Stegostoma tigrinum: one gene and its partner. The protein of the gene in region 2 interacts with the protein of the main gene of each other region in a pairwise test. Links are inferred from orthologs where the notes say so. Each region holds a gene or a part of one and is shown on either strand. Other genes may lie near its edges.

Region 1 (9,951 bases), on a different chromosome or scaffold from region 2:
GGCATTGTGGCTCAGTGGTCAGCACTGCAGCCTCACAGCACCAGGGACCCAGGTTCAATTCAACCCTCAGGTGACTGTCTGTGTGGAGTTTGCAGATTCTCCTTATGTCTTCGTGGGTTTCCTCCAGGTGCTCCAGTTTCCTCCCACGGTCCAAAGATGTGCAGGCTAGGTGGATGGGCCATGCTAAATTGCCCATAGTGTTCAGATGTGTGTGGATTATAGGGGGATGGGTCTGGGTGAGGTGCTCCAAGGGGCAGTGTGGACTTGTTGGGCCGAAGGCCCTGTTTCCACACTGTAGAGAATCTGATCATTTTTTAAAAAAAAATCCAATCAATATGTCATGAATTAGCATGAATGGGGATGACTATATGTGCATGAAGGACATGAAATGTACGCACTATACATATCCATGAACAGCTGACTTCAAATCCACATTGGGATCATGTCACTAGAGGAAAGACTAACCACTTAAGTGATGAAGGTGCAAGTGGACAGGAATTACAGGCTTATAAACTGTATACAGGAGACAGCAATGAACATTCATAAATGGTTTGTGCAAAGTTTACATTCACCATTCTAGCTCAATGGAGACTACAAAGTCACAGAGTTAAGGATCAGCAGGTCTGGAACATCTGTGGAGAGAAATTCAAGTTGATGTTTCAGGTCAAGTGACCCTTCCTCAGAACTGTTCTGACTTCTGAGGAAGGCTCACTCAACCCGAAATGTCAACTGTGATTTCTCTCCACAGATGCTGCCAGATCTGCTGAGCTTTTCCAGCAATTTCTATTTTTGTTTCTGATTGACAACATCTACAGTTCTTTTGGTTTTTGTAGAATTTAGTTAAAGCATTAAAGTTAGATCATTATCTGGATAGGAAAATGTGCAGAGCTAAGAGAAAAAGGCAGGGGAGTAGCTCAAAGCATTTGGTTCCATTGAAGGGCCAGCACAAATAGAATAGGCCAAATGACTTCCTTCAGCTGTAACCATGCTATGATAGAGAATTATTGGGCATGGGTCTGAAGGAGCACTGTGAATGGTATTCTTGTTAAGGAAGGATGTGAATATGTTTGAGAGGGTTCAGAGGAGATTTATTAGATCGATACCTAGAATGAGTGAGTTGTCTCATGAGGATAGGTTGAACAAACTGGGGTTGAGAAGTGTGAGGAGTGGTTTGATAAAACACTGAATTGTCTTAACATGTGCGGAAAGGATGTTTGCTCTTGTGGCTGACTCCAGAAACAGGAGAGGCTGATGTAAAATTATGAATCACCTTTCTGGTACAGAGATGAGAAGAAATCTTTTCTCTCAGAGAGATGGTGATTTTGAAAATCTGTGCTGCAGAAGATGGTAGAGGTGGATTTATTGAATATTTTCAAGGCAAAGTTAAGATTCTTGTTAGGCAGGGGAACTGAAGGTTATCAGTGGTGGGAGGTGGTGGAGATGGGAATGTGGAATTCAAAACACAAACAGTTTGCCTGGAATTTTATGAAATGAAGGATCAGGCTTGAGAAGCTTTTATGGCCTATTTCTGCTCTGAAATGCATGATCTTATGTTTGTACGTGTGTTTCACTTAGAATCCATACAGTGCGGAAGCAGGCCATTTGGCCCATCGAGTCCACACTGACCCTCCAAAGAGCATTCCACCCAGACCCACCCCCTACCCCATCTCTGCTTTTCTCGCAACCTAGTCACTGTGGACAGTTTAGCGTGGCCAATCTATTTAATGTGCACATCTTTGGACTGTGGGAGGAAACTGGAGCACCCGGAGAGAACGTGCACAGACACGGGGAGAATGTGAAAACTCCACACAGACAGTCACCTGAGGGAGGGATCTAACCTGGTCCCTGGCGCTGAGAGGCAGCGGCGCTAACCACTGAGCCACCGTGCCGCCCACTTATTTGTATTTCACTTGAGGGAAGTTCAAAATGCCAAGAATTCATTACTTCCATGCCTTCAAACAGGCGAATACCTGAAAATACAGGATGACTTTGAACTGCTGGAGTTGAAGTTGAGGGAATAGAAAGTTGCAATGCCAATACATCGAGTGTATTTCCTTCAGGGGATGTGAGAAAGTGTAAAGTTTATTCACAGGCACCATGCTATGATTGTGACTCCATGAGCTAAGGTTGATTCACTCTTGGCAATCTCAGAAACCATTAGACTTGAGCTAGATTAACTTTGTACCACCCCGATGAGGATTCCATTAACACTTTGTGGCTAGTGGATGCCTATCGCACATTGTTACAACCATTTTTGAAGATTTATGATCTTCTTTCTCCTCCCGGCTCAAACCATTTATTTGCTACTGTAAGATAATAAAATGTGAGGCTGGATGAGCACAGCAGGCCAAGCGGCATCTCAGGAGCACAAAAGCTGATGTTTCGGGCCTAGACTCTTCATCAGATTTTCTAATGAAGGGTCTAGGCCCGAAACATCAGCCTTCCTGCTCCTCTGATGCTGCTTGGCCTGCTGTGCTCATCCAGCTCTACACCTTGTTACCTCAGATTCTCCAGCATCTGCAGTTCCTATTATCTGTGGACCATAAGGCGATTTGATTCCAGGCATCCAAACACTTGATCAAACAGCTGAATGCTTTTATTCCTCAATTCATTCATGGAAAGTAGGCATAACTAGCCGGACCAGCATTAATTGTCCATCCCTAATTATTCGTAGAGCAGTTAAGGATCAATCCCATTGCTGTGGGTTTGGAGTCACATGTAGGCCAGACTAGACAAGAATGGCAGTTTCCTTCCCTGAAGGGCATTAGTGAGCCTGATGGGTTTTTCTTGACAATCTAGAATGGACATCTTTAGAGTCTTAGTTTTCCTATATCGAATTCTAATTTCACCATCTACCACAGCAGGATTTGAACCTGGGTCCCTAGAATATTACCTTGGCCACGGGATTAATAGCCCAGTGATAATATCACTAGGCTATTGCCTCCCTTTCAAGGGACTGCTTCAATGAGGGAAGAGATGCAGCTACATTTAAAACCAAATTCCACATCCTAGGGCTTTGGTGGTAGAAGGTGCAACTGCTAACGGTCAAGCCAATAAACTTTGCAATGCTCAAAAGGCCAAAATCAAAGCAGATTACACAAAGGCTATGTGGGTCTGGGTGAGGTTAAAGAGTGCAGGAGGGTGTAAATTCAAGGAGGGATGAGAGGACAATGGTGCTGCATTTATTTGACCAGACTCCAGTGCAGGTCAAAGGGCTGGTGGGTGTTCAGGACAGAATACCAATTCAGACATAGATAGGAGAGTTGTGATCAGAGATAATGGGAACTGCAGATGCTGGAGAATCCAAGATAATAAAGTGTGAAGCTGGATGAACACAGCAGGCCAAGCAGCATCTCAGGAGCACAAAAGCTGACGTTTCGGGCCTAGACCCTTCATCAGACAATGCTCGTAACGTCAGCTTTTGTGCTCCTGAGATGCTGCTTGGCCTGCTGTGTTCACCCAGCTTCACACTTTGTTAGCATAGATAGGAGATTACTGGCTGGACTGAGTTTAGAGAAGGTGGGCATGTTACTGCACAGCCAGGTATCCAGCCTTTGTAATATGCCGAGTCTGGGGATCGCTACAGGACCAGGTTAGGGCAATGCTGAGTGGAAGCGCGCATTGTGCGCATTTTGCCAGTCCTGCTGCCCAAAATCCCCTTGTGGTGAAACTCTACCCCAGTGTCTCCTCAGGTAGTTCCTTGTGCTGTCAAGATATTGCTATTCTCTAGTCTCTGGGGTAGCTCCTGCTTGAGCTAAAGATAGCCTCTAGCACTCAAAGCAGAAAATTCTGAATGCTGGAAACCTGATGCAGGCACAGAAATGCTAGAGAGACTCTGCAGGTCCAGCAGCAATGTGGAGAGAGAAAGTTAATGTTTTGAGACCAGTATGACTTTCTTTTAGAACTCATCATGCTGGAAGCAGCAGAAATGAATGAGAGAGGTGGAAAGTGAGAATAAGAGGTACACTATTGGGGATCTGGGAGGCAGAGGAAGGGGTGGCAGCTGAAATGGGGGAAATGGGGTAAACACATTGGAGAGCTCATTCTACCACAAACCTGTCAATGTTCAAATTAGACTAATAATGGACATGAAATATGGGCCATTTCCCTGTCAACGATGCAGCCAGATCTGCTGAGTTTCTTCAGCGCTTTCTGCTCTGAATCGATGTGTGCTGCCACTGGACTAATATTGATGGAAAACAATGTCATTACTTGTGACATTTTTGATATATCTTCCCCCCACTGCAGGTAACACAGATTAATCATCTCATGCTAATGCCTTGTTTTCATTGCATCTTGTTTTGACCTTCCCTTAAGCAACTAATCAAAATATTGTTAACTTGATTCAAAGGTCACAGATGAATGACCTTCCTTCCAGAGACCTAGTGGGATGTCTGGGATAATAAAGCACAGGATTGCAGATGCTGAAACAGGCCATTTGGCCCATTAAGTTCATATCAACCCTCTGAATAGCATCCTACTCAGACCCACCCCACCTGTAACCTTCCATTTCCCATAGCTAATCCACCTTCCCTGCACATCCCTCAACAATCTGGGCAATTTAGCACTGCGAATCCACCCATCTTTGGACCATGGTAGGAGGCCAGAGAATCTGGAGAGAATCCATGCAGACATGGGGAGAATGTACAAACTCCATAGACAGTTGCCCGAGAGTGGAACTGACCCCAGATCCCTAGTGCTGTGAGGTAGCAGTGCTAAGCACTGAGCCACGGTGCCACCTTAGAAAATCTGAAACAAAAACACAGATGTCGCTGGAGAAGCTCAGCAAGGCTGGCTACATCTGTGAAGGGAGAAACAGAGTTAACATTTCGACTCCAGTGACCCTTCTTCAGCATGTCCAGGGGAATTTCACTACTCGTGCCTCTCTATTCTTCTTCCAGCCACTATTGGCTCAGGCTGAGGCTGACCGGAACCCCATTGGCTGTTAATGGGACCAGTAGCTCACTAGGTGCTGCCAGCCTGGCCAATGGCAGATGGGCATGGCTCTTGGCTGCGCTGAATGGGAGAGGCTGACCTCTGTGATTGGCTTAGTATGTTGCGGGGTGCGGCCCTCCTGCTCTTGATGGGCAGGTTGAGGATGTGGGCTCAGGCACATCTGGAAGAGTGGCAGCTTGTGCTAGGGGTTGTGATTGTGTACGCAATGCCAGGCTTGGTGTCTGGGCAGTTGCATGCCGCCTGCCTGTGGAAGGAGGGATGCTGGTTCTGTAGCTGCAGGAACAGGCAGGCAGACTGACTGAGCACACCCCCCCCCCCTCCCGTGCCTTTTTCTCCCCAGACTCTCCACCGGAGACACAGAGGGAGAGACATCACTGCTCATTTGAGATCCTGGGGATTTCGTGCCCGGCAAAAAAAATTGGTTTCAAAGTCCATCGTCCTGAGAAACTGCCACATTCTCGCAAAAGGTAGGTTGGGGAATATTTCCTTGGCTGTTGTCGGGAATTAGGTGTCAGCTCTCAGTTACACTGTACCAAATCCAGGGGTTTTGTTCGATCTGCAGAACCGTCGGCCACTGCCTCCGGGCTCTTCCTGGCAATTTTTTAAAAATTACGATCTGCAGGTATCACGCGTTCGACTTTTTAAAATTTAGATGCACAGCTGGCCTCAACTGCCTGGTGTATTTTCGCCTGAACCAACTTGCTGCAGATTGCATCCAACCGGGGAACGCTATTTGCAAACGTGTGCGATTCAGTGTAGGAAGCGTGTGGCTGCAAAGAGAGAGAGAGAGAGACCCGGGGAGAACAGCGTTACCGACCGGTTGCATCGCAAAGACCGGGCAGCGATCGGGGTGGAGTGCAGGGTGACCTGAGGGTTGACCTGGTCACACCAGATCCACCACAAACCGACCCTAAAGGTCACTCCCCCCCCCCCCGACACACAGCTCTAACACCCTCCCTCCCTTAGCTGGCCAATCTGTCCGGAGATTCCGGCACCGCGCGATTTCCCTGTCCTGGTCTGGAAGGGTTTGGATTTAAAAAAATGTTGATGGCAGGCTCGTGTTGCAGTTACGAACACTGTGCATCTTCTTGCGAAGAGGTGCGTGTCTTATCTATGACCGTGATATGTTTTCCTGAACCATGTTATTCCACTTCAATCTGGCTCATTGCAGAATGGCCCCATAGGGACACAGTCGAGTGGGGTTTTTTCTGTCTATTTAACATTCGGCAGAGTGTACTGATCGACCACATCAGTAAGAAGCGAATATTAGCAGATCCCAGGCATAAGTCTGTATTTGCAGTTATACACTGTGAATGTCCAGGCGATAGTTTGTTCCTTTTCCCAATCACTGGAAAACCCATGACTCGTTTTATGAATTCACGCAAGGCGGATCTAAGAGTTAAACCTGCAGTATCTCTTCTCCATTCATTTCAGTGATCAATTATTGCCTAAGTGTAGGTATTTCTTAAATCAACCTGTATACAAATATTATCACACACACACACACACACACACACACACCTTTGAAACTTGAACCTGAGCCTCTTAGCTCAGAGATAGGGGCACCACCACTACACCACAGGAATCCTTATGTCTAACAGTTGATAACAGATGAAGATGATAATCGAAGACTTACATACGTTACACTGTCCTTAATGCAACTCTGCTGTTACATAAGGATTCAGTGGGCTTTCACGAAGGGCTGAACTTGTGGGAAATCAGTGCCCATCTATTCTTAATTAAGATTGATTTCACTCCAATTTGTAAGTAAATGAAAATGCTTTTATTAACCATTATAACACTGTTAACATCTTCCCTTCGAGTGGTGCCTATGTTTAGTGAACTGAGTGCCATGCTTAACAGAAGCCTGTGCCAAAGTTAGTAGTTTATTGGTCAGTGGAGTCCGCTATGCTGGACTGGGTTACACATTGGTTCTCCTCCCTCGCCGCTATGGTTGGGGTCCAGATTGTAGCTCGATGGCCGACCGTAAAGCTGTGAATGAATGTCGGCAGGTTTAATTCAATTCGTCATTGAGAACGTGCAAAAACTGGACCTTAACTGAAATTAAGAGTGAACACTCTGTCTCACTGGTGCATTGAGGATGGTTTTTTTGTGTAGCTCAAGTTGATGCAGAATAAACCGAGCTTTGCTATATGTAACTCGAGAGGGCTTCATCCTGGCACTGTCAGAAACAGAGAAAGCGTTATCTACCATTCTAACAAAACCCAGCCCTTTTAAAAGTGAATTTGAATGGTCAATAGCCTTAATTTTCACTTAAGATGTATTTGCCAAGTGTTATTTGTTAGTTGAAAATTATTTTTCTGCAGATTTTTCTGCCCCACGCCACATGACAAAATGCATATTAATAATAAAGCGCAACTAAAATTCATTTTATACATCAGTAAACATCAACAATCTCAGATCTTTTAGTTAAATGTTGTAATGGAAACTTAGACTTCAAAATGTGTTCAAAATTCTCTTTGCTTCCTGTGTTACCTGAGGCCATATTGAACGATAGTTTAATTGATGTACTTACAGCCTTGTGCAAATCGCCTTTCTTTGCAGAAGGCTGTGAGTTTGCAGATTGATCTTAGCAAATAGTTAACTCTGTTAGCTGTGCCTCAGCATATAATGCTTGAATCTTTGTATCAGAACATCATGGAATAATGATGTGTTCCAAAGACTAACACAAATATACAGCTGATGGTGCAGTACTGGGGGAGTGCTGCCCTGTCTGGTGAATAAGTTGTTAAAACAAAGCCTTGCCTAATTTATTTTTGGGTGAATGGAAGAAGATCATATGATACTGCTTAAGTGAAAAGCAGGGACATTATCCCCCATGTCTTGGTAAGTATTTATTCCACCACAAGAGTAAAGACTGACTATTTGGGTCATTTCACATAGCTGTTTGAATCTACTGTGTCCAAACTGTTTGCTAAATTTTCGCCATTATTGCACAGGTTGTAAAGCATTTTTGGATATTCTGGAATCATAAAAGAATGCAGAATTTTTTTAGTCTAATTTGGATAACTTTATGGAAAATCAATACTATGATTGTGATAACTGTATATATTTTTGAATGCAAATTCTTGGCTTGTAATCAGAAATGGGCACCTGTAGATTTCTCTTCACTTCTTCCAGCCATAGAATAGGTGAACATTTATAGACCTCTCCTATCACATCATATGTGCCCAGGATATAACCAGGGATTAAAATTCTTCATCTCCATGATTGTGTGTACCATTCAGTGTGGTTACATTTTAAACCACTGGGAGATCCAAAGTGTAGAATCTTGAGATACTTACTTCTGTGCAAACAGATGGGAAAATGAATAAGCAGTAACATAAATAAGACAAAAATAAAACTTAGTTGCTGTGAAGTGAATGATTGATTGTGCTCAAATACAGATGGCACCTTGTTTTATATCTTGTCATCCATTCAAATATTTATAGGTAAGGTATTGTGAAAAATTACTAAAGCCGGTACAAGTTGCAATTTTTAAACTTTACGATTAATCATGATAGCTAAGAACAATGGTTTGACTGGGGGGTGATTATAGCCTCCTTTCTTTCAACTTTATTTGTTTTTACAATTAAGTAATTATGACAAAAGCCTCTTGGCAGGGAAGAAAATATGTGTGGAACTGTATTTATTCTTTTAAAAGCAACACTGTAGAACTGTAGTGTGGAAACCATTGCTAATTGTCAGGGAAAACCCACTTGGTTCATTCATGTCCTTTGTTTTAGAGCTGACAGATTTCTTTCCCTATGTGGTCTGGCCAACATGTGACTCCAGCCACACAGCGATATGGTTGCTTATTAGGGGTGGGCAATAAATACTAGTCCAGCTGGTGATGCTAAGACCATGAATTAATTTTTAAAAAATGCAACATTTTATGATGTCAGCAACTGTTCAGGTTACAGAATGACCAATGATCACAAAGTGCCCTAAGAATTACGACAGTCAAAGCATATCCCATTGAACTATCCTTCCCAGTGAAGGAAAATTACACTGGAATGGGAAGACGCCAGACAAGCAGATAATGGCAATGTAAATATGTATCATTAGGAGACCTGCATGATGTAAAGATTATGCACCGCATGTTCAGAAACTGATGAAAGTGGGACGGATGAGAATTAACATACTTTTGTTGATGAACGATAGTTTTCTTTGATCATGTATGTTAGCTTGTAGCTGCAGATGATAGGGCATGCGTTTCATTTCTGTTTCATGTTCCACATGAAAAGAGGATGATACTATCAATGCAACTTTTACAGTGATTTAATTTGTTTGCTGTAACTTGCTTTCTCTTTAGTTTGTGGCAGCCATGAAATGTTATTCTTGAAACACGTCCCACCTGAAAATTCTCAGGCAGAACCTTCATGTTATTAGCAATGTTGTGCTGTGGTTTATATCAGCTTTTCAAATGAGACAAGGATGCTTAGCATAGCAAACTTACTCCTTCAGCCCACTTGATTGTACTGTCGCTGCTAACCTCATGCTATTCCATGTAATTGTGTCCAAGTTATGACAAAAGAATTTTGAAACTGTGTGGCTTTGAGCAGTAATTCATTTATTTCAACATTCTAATTGATACGCTACAGAATAAGGATTTTTGACCTGTCATTGTTCAGATAAAAATTTGGGTGACAAAGTGGTTTAACATATCGTGACTGAAAAAATGAAATGCAACTTACTGCAGGTGTCGGAGATCTAAAACAAAACTAAAGTGTTGGAGAAACGAAGCAGATCTGGTGATATCTATCTGTGAAGAGAATGATACAGACTTAATGTTTTGACTTTAATATGACTCTTCAGAATTCAAGGTGGGGGGGTGGAAAAGTGCTTTTTAATGGCATTGACAAAGGAACAAGGGGTGCAAGTGGAATAGAGGGTGAGGGCACCAGGAGTAAAAGGTGAAGGTACTGCTAACAGTCATAGTTATATCCATGCAGATTAAGTATTAGTGGTAGGTGTGAACAGTAGAAAATAGAT
Region 2 (10,414 bases):
AGAGTCAACCATATTGCTGCAGGGCAATAAAACATAGGAGCAGAAATTAGGTCATTCATCCCAACGAGTCTGGTCCACCATGCAATCATGGCTGGTAAGTTTCTCAACCCCATTCTCCCACTTTCTCCCTGTAGCCTTTGATCTCCTTGGCAATCTATCTATCTCTTAAATATGTATCTCTTAAATATACTTAATGGCATGGCCTCCATGGCCTTCTGTGGCAGTGAATTTCATAGATTCGCCATTCTCTGGCTGAAGAGGTTTCTCCTCATCTCCATTCTAAAGGTCTTCCCTTTAATTTAAGAACCTTTGGGTTCCAGTCTGTACTGCTAATGGAAATATCTTCCCAACGTCCACTCTATCCAGGCCTTTCAGTATTCTGTAAGTTTGAATTAGATCCTGCCATCATCCTTCCAAACTCCATTGAATTTAAACCCAGAGTTCTCAAACTTACGTCATACGTTAAGACCTTCATTCATCATCATGGAATTATAGAATCTCTACAGTGTGGAAACAGGCCCGTCAGCCCAACGCATCTACACCAACTCTCCAAAGACCTTCCCACCAGACCGATCCTGCTATCCTTTCCCTGTAACTCTTCATTACCATGGCTAACACACCTAACCTACACATTCCTGAACTCTATGGACAATTTAGTATGGCCAATTAGCCTGCACATCTTTCGAGCACCCGGAGAAAACCCATGCAAACACGAGGAGAATGTGCAAACTCCACACAGATAGACGCTTGAGGGTGGAATAGAACCCAGGTCCCTGGCGCTGTGAGGCAGCAGTGCTAACCACTGAGACATCGTGCTGTGTTCTCATGAACCTCCTCTGGACCTGATCCACGGCCATTAAATCCTTCCTAGGATATGGGGCACAAAAGTGCACACAATATTCTAAACATGGTCTGAACAGAGCTTTATAAAGCCTCTAAAGTACAATCCCTGTTTTTATATTCTATTCCTCTTGAAATAAACGCCAACTTTGTATTTACCTTCCTAACTACTGATCCAGCCTGCAAGTTAACCTTAACGGAACCTTGGAATACGACTCCTGAGTCCGTTTGCACTTCAGATTTCTGAATTTGTTGCCATTTAGAAAATAGTGTATGCCTTTATTCTTCCTACCAAGCTGTGAGACCTCACATTTTCCCATGTTTTCCCATGTTATATTCCATCTGCCACTTTCTTTTTGTCCACTTTCCTAACTGTCCAAATCTTTCTGCAGCCTCCGCACCTCTTCAATATGACCTATATTTCTATCATCTACAAACTTAGCCAGATGCCCTCAGTTCATTCAGCTAGATCATTAATGTATAAAGTGAAAAGTTGTGGTCTCAACACTGACCCTTGTGGAGCATCACTAGTCACCAGCTGCCATCTGAGAACGACCTTTTTATCCCCACTCTCTGCTTTCTACCAGATAGCCAATCTTCTATCCATGCTAGTACCTTGCCTCTAACACCATGGGCCCTTATCTCACTCAGCAGCCTTCTGTGCAGCATCTTGTCAAAGGCGTTCTTGAAGCCCAAGTAGATAACATCCATCAGCTTTGCTTGGTCCAACCTGTTCATTATCGCCTCAAAGAATTCTACCAGATTTATCAGGCATGACCTCCCCTTGATGAAACCATTGCTGACTTTGCCCTATTTTGGCAAGCACTTCCAAGTATTCTGAAATCTCATCCTTTACGAAGGACTCTAAAATCTTACCAATGACTGAGGCCAGGCTAACTGGCTTACCGTCTTTTGCCTTACTCCGTTCTTAAACTGGGATCCTCCTTGACTCCAGCGATTCCTGAAAGGTCACACTAACGCCTCCAGCTATCTCCTTCAGAGTCTGGAATCACATGTCAGTCAGATCAAGGAAGGATGGGACATCCTTAGGAGACATTCGTGAACCAGATGGGTTTTTCTGACTATTGATAATGGACTCATGGTCATCATTAGACTTTTAATTCTCAATTTTTTTAAAGTGAACTCAAATTATGTGTCATGGCATTTGGGGCTAACTTGTTGAATGTTTTTAAGGCAAGATCGGATAGATTTTTGAACAGTTATGAAATTAAAGGCTATGGTGACAGGGAAGTAGAGTTGAGTTCACAAAAAGATCAGCCATGATCTTACTGAATGGTGGAGCAGGCTCAATGGGCCAGATGGCTTCCCTCCACTCCTACTTCTTAGATTCTTATGGCAAGATTTGAGCACAGGTCCCCAGGACGTTGCCTGGGTCTCTGGATTAACAGTCCTGTGATAACACCACTAGGCTGTCACCTTCCCGGATTCAGCAGGGTTTTGCAGCAGTGATGTCAAGGCTAGCGTTTGGGCTCTTTCAAGGTGGCTACACATTTTCATACACCAGTCATTATTTCTGAAGAGCTGAGCAAGTGTCCAAGAATGAAATAGTACTGCTGGAATTTTTTCTTCCCTCCAGTTGTGAGGATATTTTACAACGTCTCATCCAGAGATGCATGAATCTCACCAGCAGGATCAACAGCAAATTGTCACCACAATTACTGCCCTAAACTGGGGGCAGTGTAACACTGGTTGAGGATGAAAAGGAAGATCAACTGGAAAGAAGCAGATAGATGGGAGGCCAGCCTGACTGAAAGGAATGATTCTAAGTTCCATTTGGAAACGTTCACACTCTTTAATTTTCCATCACCTCTTACCTTTTCTCAATGGTGTCTATTATTAGATTAACTCTTCATACCCATAATTTTTTTCTGATCATCTTTCCTTGTATTTGAAAAAGACTCCTAAATAATATTTGTTATTTCTTGCACATTTCCCACAGCTCACCTATTAACAATCTCTCTGGGTGCTTTATTCAAGCTTTCTTCCTTCCCCACTCCCCTATTCTCCTTTTGATTGATTGTATCACAATACTCTCTTTCATTTTTTGCGACACTGCCCAAAATGTTATCCCTTTTTAAAATTTTTTTCTGAGCATTAGCAAGCCTATCAGTTCCTATTTTAGTTTAAGATTGTCGAGTGAAGATTTACAATCACCAAACGAGCCATTTCATATTGAATAGACAAAGACAAATGGGCATCAAAGATACAGACAGATTCAGACCTTTGGCTTTGCTGCAAGGATGCACTTTAATGTCAAATGAACACCTTCTACTTCACTCATTTAATTTCATGCAGCAATCCTGAATGGCATCCATCAATTTATGGAAGGCTTTATTCCATTGACGGACGGCCATCGAGACTTGGTTGCAATTTCACAAATCATTTAATAAAGCACGCTTAGAGTTATTAGAGAAACGAGGCTTTCAGCATTGATCGGGTTGAATTTAAACAAGGGATGCACTCCAAGTCCTATGCTGATTACACAATTTCAATGCATCTTCAAAAAGCTGTTACAACAGTGTAAACTGACCATTAACAATATTTTCTTGGGGTGGGTCAGTAACAGATATCTCACTCATAATATAAACTAAACCAGTCATAGTATAAACTAAACCAAATTAAATTAATTTGGGAACCGTTGCTCCACATTCCAAAGAAAGCCATTCAGTAACTGAAATAAATAAATTACATTTTCAAAATGCTAATCCTGTAAAGTATACAAGTTTGTATTTATTAGCTTACCAACATGCCACTTACAAAAAGTACAAATGTACCAGGTGTTCTTGCATGAATATGGTGTGAAACAGACTAGAGACTAGTCAAATGGTCATCAAAGTCACATACTGACAAATAAAAAGTCAAAATTAAACTATACCTGAATATTTGTCAAAACTTGAGAGACTTTTGGTCTACCAAACAGAATATATACAACATCATTACACTGTACAGCTACTCCATGAATGCAGCTTTTGGCAGTAATCAGAACAAGTTTAGATCCATTAGCATAGACAGAGGAAAGATCTTGCATTTATAATGCCATTCAGATTCTCGACCACTGCTAAAATATTTCACAGTCGGCTAATTTCTAAGTGTCGTCTTTGCTGCTATGTGAACAAACTCTATGGTGTGAGGGCTTATGGTACCCTGCTTTGCTAATGAGGGCCTGGAGGTCCCGTTAAACATTGGGGGAGGTGTGTCCTGGAGCATGCCTGAGATGTTGGTGACTGATGCAGGTCTAGAGGAGAATGTGGTGAGCTAGAGTTGCTGGGTTACCACGCTGACTTTCATGACAGGAATTGTCGCTGTCTAGTGGCAGTATGGAGGGTGGGAGAATGGGGAAGTTTCGTGTCAGTAAGGTGAGATGACATCTTAATGAGGATGTTAATGCATACAAATCGGTCTCTCGCTGCTCAATAGTGAGAATCTTGTCTCGCCCTTCAACACCTGGTTGGCAATGGGGCTAAGCTCTTGGTTGGCCATCTCACCTGAATTTCCTAGCCTTCTTTTCATGGCCCACATTGATTAGGGGCTAGGATGATTCTGCCCAAATCTCAAAAGCTAACACCAGTGACAGAGTATGCACAGAAGCACAGAAACACTCATTCATCAGGAATTCATCTGCACATTTCAATATTGCTGTAGATACAAGGCATCAGCTAAACAGCTCTGTAAGTTGCATGTTCTTTTATCCTACCAGGCCCTTTCTCTTTTTACAACTTTATGCTTATATTTATGTTGTGTAGTGACGTTATATATTATTTTACTTCGGGCTAGTAAGTAATAAAACCCTTCTTTCTTCCACTAAAGGAAATGTTGTTAATTTTGATGATTACCCATGTTTTAATTGAAGTGTGATGCATGTTGAATGGAATAAAAAATATTTGTTGCAAGGGACTTGAAAAGTGTGGAGCTAATGAACCCCGTTTTATCTGGTCATGATAAATTCCATTGTCAATGCAATTTACCCATAAATTTGATCAAAACAGTATTCACATCTTTTTAAAGTAAAAGAATCAATACTTTATATGGTTTAGTAAATAGGCAGTTAAGCATGCTATAATTCAAAATTTTAGGTCTAGCTCGAAGTGCCAACCTTGGGTCAGGAACAATTTAGTCTCAGGAGGTTGTAAGTTCAAATCTCACCAGAGGAATGAACAAATAATTAAAGCTGACACTGAAATGTATACAGAGGGAGCACTGAACAGTCTGACATACTGACTAGTGGTGTTAAATTGAGGCTCTGTTTGCCACTTACCTGCTTGACAAAAATTTCATGGCACTATTTCACAGAGCAGTGGGGATATTCTTACTGGCTTTCTGGCCAATTGTTATCCCTCTACCCACATTACTGAAACAGATCTTGTTAGTACCTCGATGTTTGTGAGAGCTTGCTGCATGTAAATGAATGGCCGCATTTCCCTATAATATAACAGTCACTATATTTAAAAACACTTCATCGACTGTTATGCAGCCTGGAAATTTCTAAGATTGTAAATGGTGCTATATAAATAAAATTAATTCTTTTAACAGTTTATGGTGTCATCACCACCAGCTGAGTTGCTTGTTTTAATCCATTTCCTAATTCAGTACTGTGACATTTTCACAAGGAGTGGGCATTATTTCAGGGTTTCACTGGTGTACTTTCCCCAAACACTGGTTGAAATATAATTTCCTAACTTTGTATGTGCAATAATATAAAACAATCACTGGATGTTGCCATTCCTAAACACCAGAAAAATCATAGTACAGTCAATGATTTCTCTTTAGAGTGGTGAGAGAATTGAATTCTATGCAGTTCTGCAGGGTAGAATTAAGAGTCCTGGCAGAAACCTCACCAAGATCAAGGTCTGGGCAGCTTTGATCTCAGAATGAGTTCCTTTTGATTGCAGCTCTCAAAGTGTCTGCTTTGTCTCCTGAGAGTTCTGGAATCAAGCTTTTACTTTAATCTCTCCATCATTAGTGCTGCTTGCACAGGAAGTTGACACTTCCCAAAGACCTCTGGGACTTTTGCTCTCAGGCTGAATTCCAAGGTTTGAACATCTAGTGAAATTTCTTAACCATTTTCTACCTTCTTTTGCAGTTATGTAAAAACATTCTGCACCCTGTGTCCTAGAACCAATTCTATTTTAACCTAAACATCTTTTATATTTAAATAGTATTTGCTAATCCATGTTTCGTTTTGCTCTCTTACACCTACCAATTTGTAACGTACAAATGGAATCAAATATATTGCTTCTGAAGAAAGAAATAGGGATGGAATGAAAGGCTTTTAGATGTATCAGTAGGATTCTCAAATGGCTTCTATTGATGCATTTATTTATTCATTTTTCCATTCTTTGTTTTTCATTCCTGCTGCTCTGTGTGGAATATAGAAGCTGTGTCTAAAAGCTAGTGACAAATTCGGTGGCACTTTTTCAACGCTGGTTGCAGTAAACAGGCTAATGACAGCATTGTGAATCGTGTGCCTAGGATTTTGACACAAACACATTAACCGATGCATTAAAAATAGTGTCAAGGAATATCAGTCGCATGAAAGGTTAGTGGATACCCTGATTGTGTCATCGCAGAGTGCATGCAAGTTACAATGTGACATTGTGAATGGAGGTATGTGCAGATTATTTTTTAAAGCAGTCTTTCAAAATTTGGCTGAAATTGAAACAGTAACGGAAACAGATACAGAAGGCCCACCAGGCAATTAAGCAACTTGCAAATCCAAACAGGAAAATAGTGAGCTGTTTATTGCCAAGCTTTGTTATGGCACAAAAAGCTGTCAATGATCCAGAACTATCAAGACACAAACTGGAGTGTTCTGATGGAAGAAAGAATGCCACACAGTATGAAAGTTGCAAGGAATGTTGCTGAAAACCAAGTAAAGGGAAAGAAAAGGAGCAGCTTTCTGTTCAAACTAGGAAGAGGAGAGTAGCTTCATTTTATGGGAAAAGAAAGGTAAGTCCACCTTGATTGCTGCACAGTGCAGATAGTACATCTGTGCTCTCTTGGAATGAAGACTGCAGTTACATTATCTGTATTATCACATTGAGTAAAGAAGGGGAAGAATGTGATTACAATTCACAAAGCCTCTTGTTACATTGTTTAATTCCATGCCTATACTCATTATTGATGGCACAAAGTTTCCATATGCCTGCACCATATAAATCTTCTGCAACATTTCTTTACCTTGCTAATCTCTCTCACCCTTTTAACATGGACCTCGATTAATTTTTCAAGGCCTTACCCTAAACTATTTTCTGTTGATGTCCACCTCCTGAACAAGCATCGCAGAATGGTTCAAAATTCGAAACCTGTGTCAGTTGTTGCAAACAACACAGAAAGAAAGCTTGTAGGAATGAAATGCTTATTTTAGGAGGCGACTGTACCCTTCAGGATCTAGAATGCAAGGTATACCATTTATCCTTGCAATATGCTTGGATTATATGATATTTTGTAACAAACTAAGTCAAGATTGCAATCTCCCTGAATTAAGTCTGTGATGTCATAAACTTTAAATTGTAAATTTAAATAGAACAAAAGTTATTGAATGGAACAATCCTTGTCAGGTAGTACATTGGAAAGGAACAGACCGTGTTCATGCAGAGTCATATTGTTTACTTGTGAGACATTAAGGCATTCAACTTTTTTGCATTAACTTGATTAGTAAACAGCAATGATGTTGCATCCCACAGACAACTGCATTCTATTAGTTTTAACTTCTCTGTCTTAAAGAGTCACTATATTTGTTCACAGGTTATTACATGCATAATTTAGGAGTTTATGGAGTAATGTAATTTACCCTGGAGCATGCTGCTGTTCAAAAGCAGTGCGGTTTAAATAACCCAGTTGCAAAATAAGCAACAAGTCTTAAACCCAACTGTATCATATACAGTGTGTGCCCACTTTGAATTGCAAGCACCATTCCTCTACAGAAGGAGTTATTGTGTGCGCGAATTCGTGGTTGGAAATAAACAAGCACAAGGTCAATTTAAACACAAGCCAGTGACTTCAGCGTGGTCATATAGAGACATACTTCCATGAAAGCCAGTACAGATTATCTGAAATTCCAATGGGTTGCCAGACAGAACTGATAATTCATGTGATGAGCTATTCAGAATTTAAAAGAAATTATGGCATGCTTGTTGCCTTTTGATGTTTAAGAAATAGGGCCTTTTTAGACATATATTTTAAAAAGACCCATTGATGTTTGTTGAAAAGACAATTAAAGATAAACATCAATTTCAGTTTGTTTTTTGAGAACGCACTCATCATAAGAGAGAAATAAACTGGGATAATTCAACTATAATGCCTTATCTTTCAAATGTTCTCAATTCATTGAGGAATAATCTTCCCTTTGTACACTGTGTTTGACTGAGTTGCGAAATGGCTGACCTGAACCACATCTTTCTCAAATGGTACAACTTATAAGAGGTTTCTGTAGTGATTGTAACAAGATCAGCCAGGTGGACCTCATAGAATATGAGTTCCCTGATTAGAGCTGTTAATCTAGTCCATTCGGGGAACCCTGGCTGACACGTAAGAATATGAGTGTCAGACATCCTATTCATTCTCAGAGCTGACTCTGACGGAGCTGGATCAGTATCAAAGACACTCCGTGTGTAAATAAGGGGTGAATTAGTGACGAAGTATCAGCTTCTGTAGAGTTATTTCAGTGGTGATGTAGCCTACTAACTCAAGCCCAACTGGACTTCAGACAGGCATTACAACTGAAGCTGGATATATGCCCAATCCCTCACATACAGGATTTAGACACAAAGCTTACAGGAGGGCCGTCCCTCACAAAGCTGGACATGAGCCATGCGTGCTTGCAATTGTGGTTAGATGAGGATTCCTAGAGTATGCTATAATTAGTACCCATGTCGGTTTGTAATAATATATGAGACTGCCATCTGGGATATCGTCAGCCTCTGCAAGTTTTCAGTGGATGATGAGGAACATTTTACAATGTTTACCCATGTCAACATTTACCTAGATGATGTGCTAATAATAGGGAAAACCAATAAAGAACAACTAGAGAACTAGGACATAGTCCTAAGACATTTATCACAGATGGGCAAATGCTTTAGAAGGGAAAAATGTGCATTCAAGGCACCCCAAATGGGCTATAAAGTCATCAAGACCCGGTTACATGAGTTAGAAAATAAAGTGAGGGCGCACAAACATGCCCGGCTCCCACGTCTGTACTAGAGCTTAGGTCTTTCATTGGGCCGGTGAATTATCGTGGAAAGTTTGTGCATAACTTGGGCTCCATCCTGGCACCTTTGCGTCAATGCTTAAAAAAGAGTCAGCTTTGGAAATGGTTGCATAGACAAGCCATAGCTTTCAAGGAAGTAAAGAAACAGCTATCATCTTCGAAGGTGTTGGCACACTATGATCCTAAGCGAGGTCTGGTATTGACATGCAATGCCTCTCCATATGCCATGAGGTAGTATTAGCTTACAGGTGGCCCAATTGAAAGGAATGCCCAATACTGTATACATCTAGGATTTTGGTTAATGTATGGCATAAATACGCCAGATAGAGCAGGAAGGTTTGGTGGTCATACCTGGAGTCAGGAAGTTACACCAAAACCTTTACGGACATAAATTTGTAGTAACGGACCACATATCCCTACCAGGTCTACTTAGAGAAGACAAGGCAATGCTGCCCCTAGCTTCAGGTTGAATTCAGTGGTGGGCTCTAATACTAAGTGCATGTCATTACAAGTTGGAACATCATCAGGGAGGCCAAGTAACATTGGCAGATGTGTAGATCTGCCTCCTGCTGGAAGATACACCGCCAGTCGTACTTCAATTGGAAGTGTCTGTAATGGTTTTAAATTTTCTTGACACTCTTCCAGTCACAGCTGAAATATCAGACCTTGAACGCAGAAAGATATAGTCCTGGCAAAACTGAAAGAGCTGGTGGTATTGCGGGAAACTAAAGGACTGGCACAACCAGAATTGAAATGCTTTTGGACTTGGAGAGACCAGATCACAGGAGAGAATGGCATATTATTATGGGGAACAAGAGCTAATGTTCGGAGCAAAGTTCACTGCCACATATTATCTAAACTCCACCAGTGTCATCCAGGGATTTCCAAAACAAAGATATTGTCGAGAAGTTATGCCTGGTGGCCAAGATTGGATGCAGGCATAGCTGTGGAGGTGGGGAAGTGCTCAGAGTGTCAACAGGGACAAAAATTACCTCCAGCAGCTTCCCGACATTCGTAGGAATGACTGGGTAAACCGTGGACTCAGTTACACGTCGACTATGTCGGTGCTTTCGTGGCTTAATGTTCTTAGTCATTGTGGGCACCCACTCAAAGTGGCTGGACATGCAGAGAATTTATTCATCAAACAAGGGGACAATGAAAGAAAAACCGCCCACATCTTTTGCAATGCATGGGCTCCTAGATATATTGGTCACAGATAATGGGCCATCGTTTATCAGAGGGAAATTTCAGTATTTCCTCAAGTCAAATAATTCTCTGCATGTAAGGACAGCTCCATACCACTAATCATCCATTGGTCTGGCAGAAAGAGCAGTCCAAACTTTGAAG

What was found. The genes of interacting proteins can lie anywhere in the genome.
Region 1: the proteins of UPF0500 protein C1orf216 homolog (region 2) and rab effector MyRIP-like interact in binary tests that used the Homo sapiens proteins (3 or more experiments, as listed by UniProt). The two-hybrid records come from large-scale screens. The link is inferred for Stegostoma tigrinum from reciprocal best matches to the Homo sapiens genes C1orf216 and MYRIP.

What each region holds. Positions count from the first base shown.
Region 1 is NC_081355.1:9,732,392-9,742,342, reverse strand, and holds the start of rab effector MyRIP-like, read left to right. Parts: upstream 1-5,150; 5' UTR 5,151-5,423; intron 5,424-9,951. UniProt on the Homo sapiens protein: Rab effector protein involved in melanosome transport. Serves as link between melanosome-bound RAB27A and the motor proteins MYO5A and MYO7A. May link RAB27A-containing vesicles to actin filaments. Functions as a protein kinase A-anchoring protein (AKAP).
Region 2 is NC_081377.1:22,223,334-22,233,747, reverse strand, and holds the start of UPF0500 protein C1orf216 homolog, read left to right. Parts: upstream 1-6,318; 5' UTR 6,319-6,807; intron 6,808-10,414.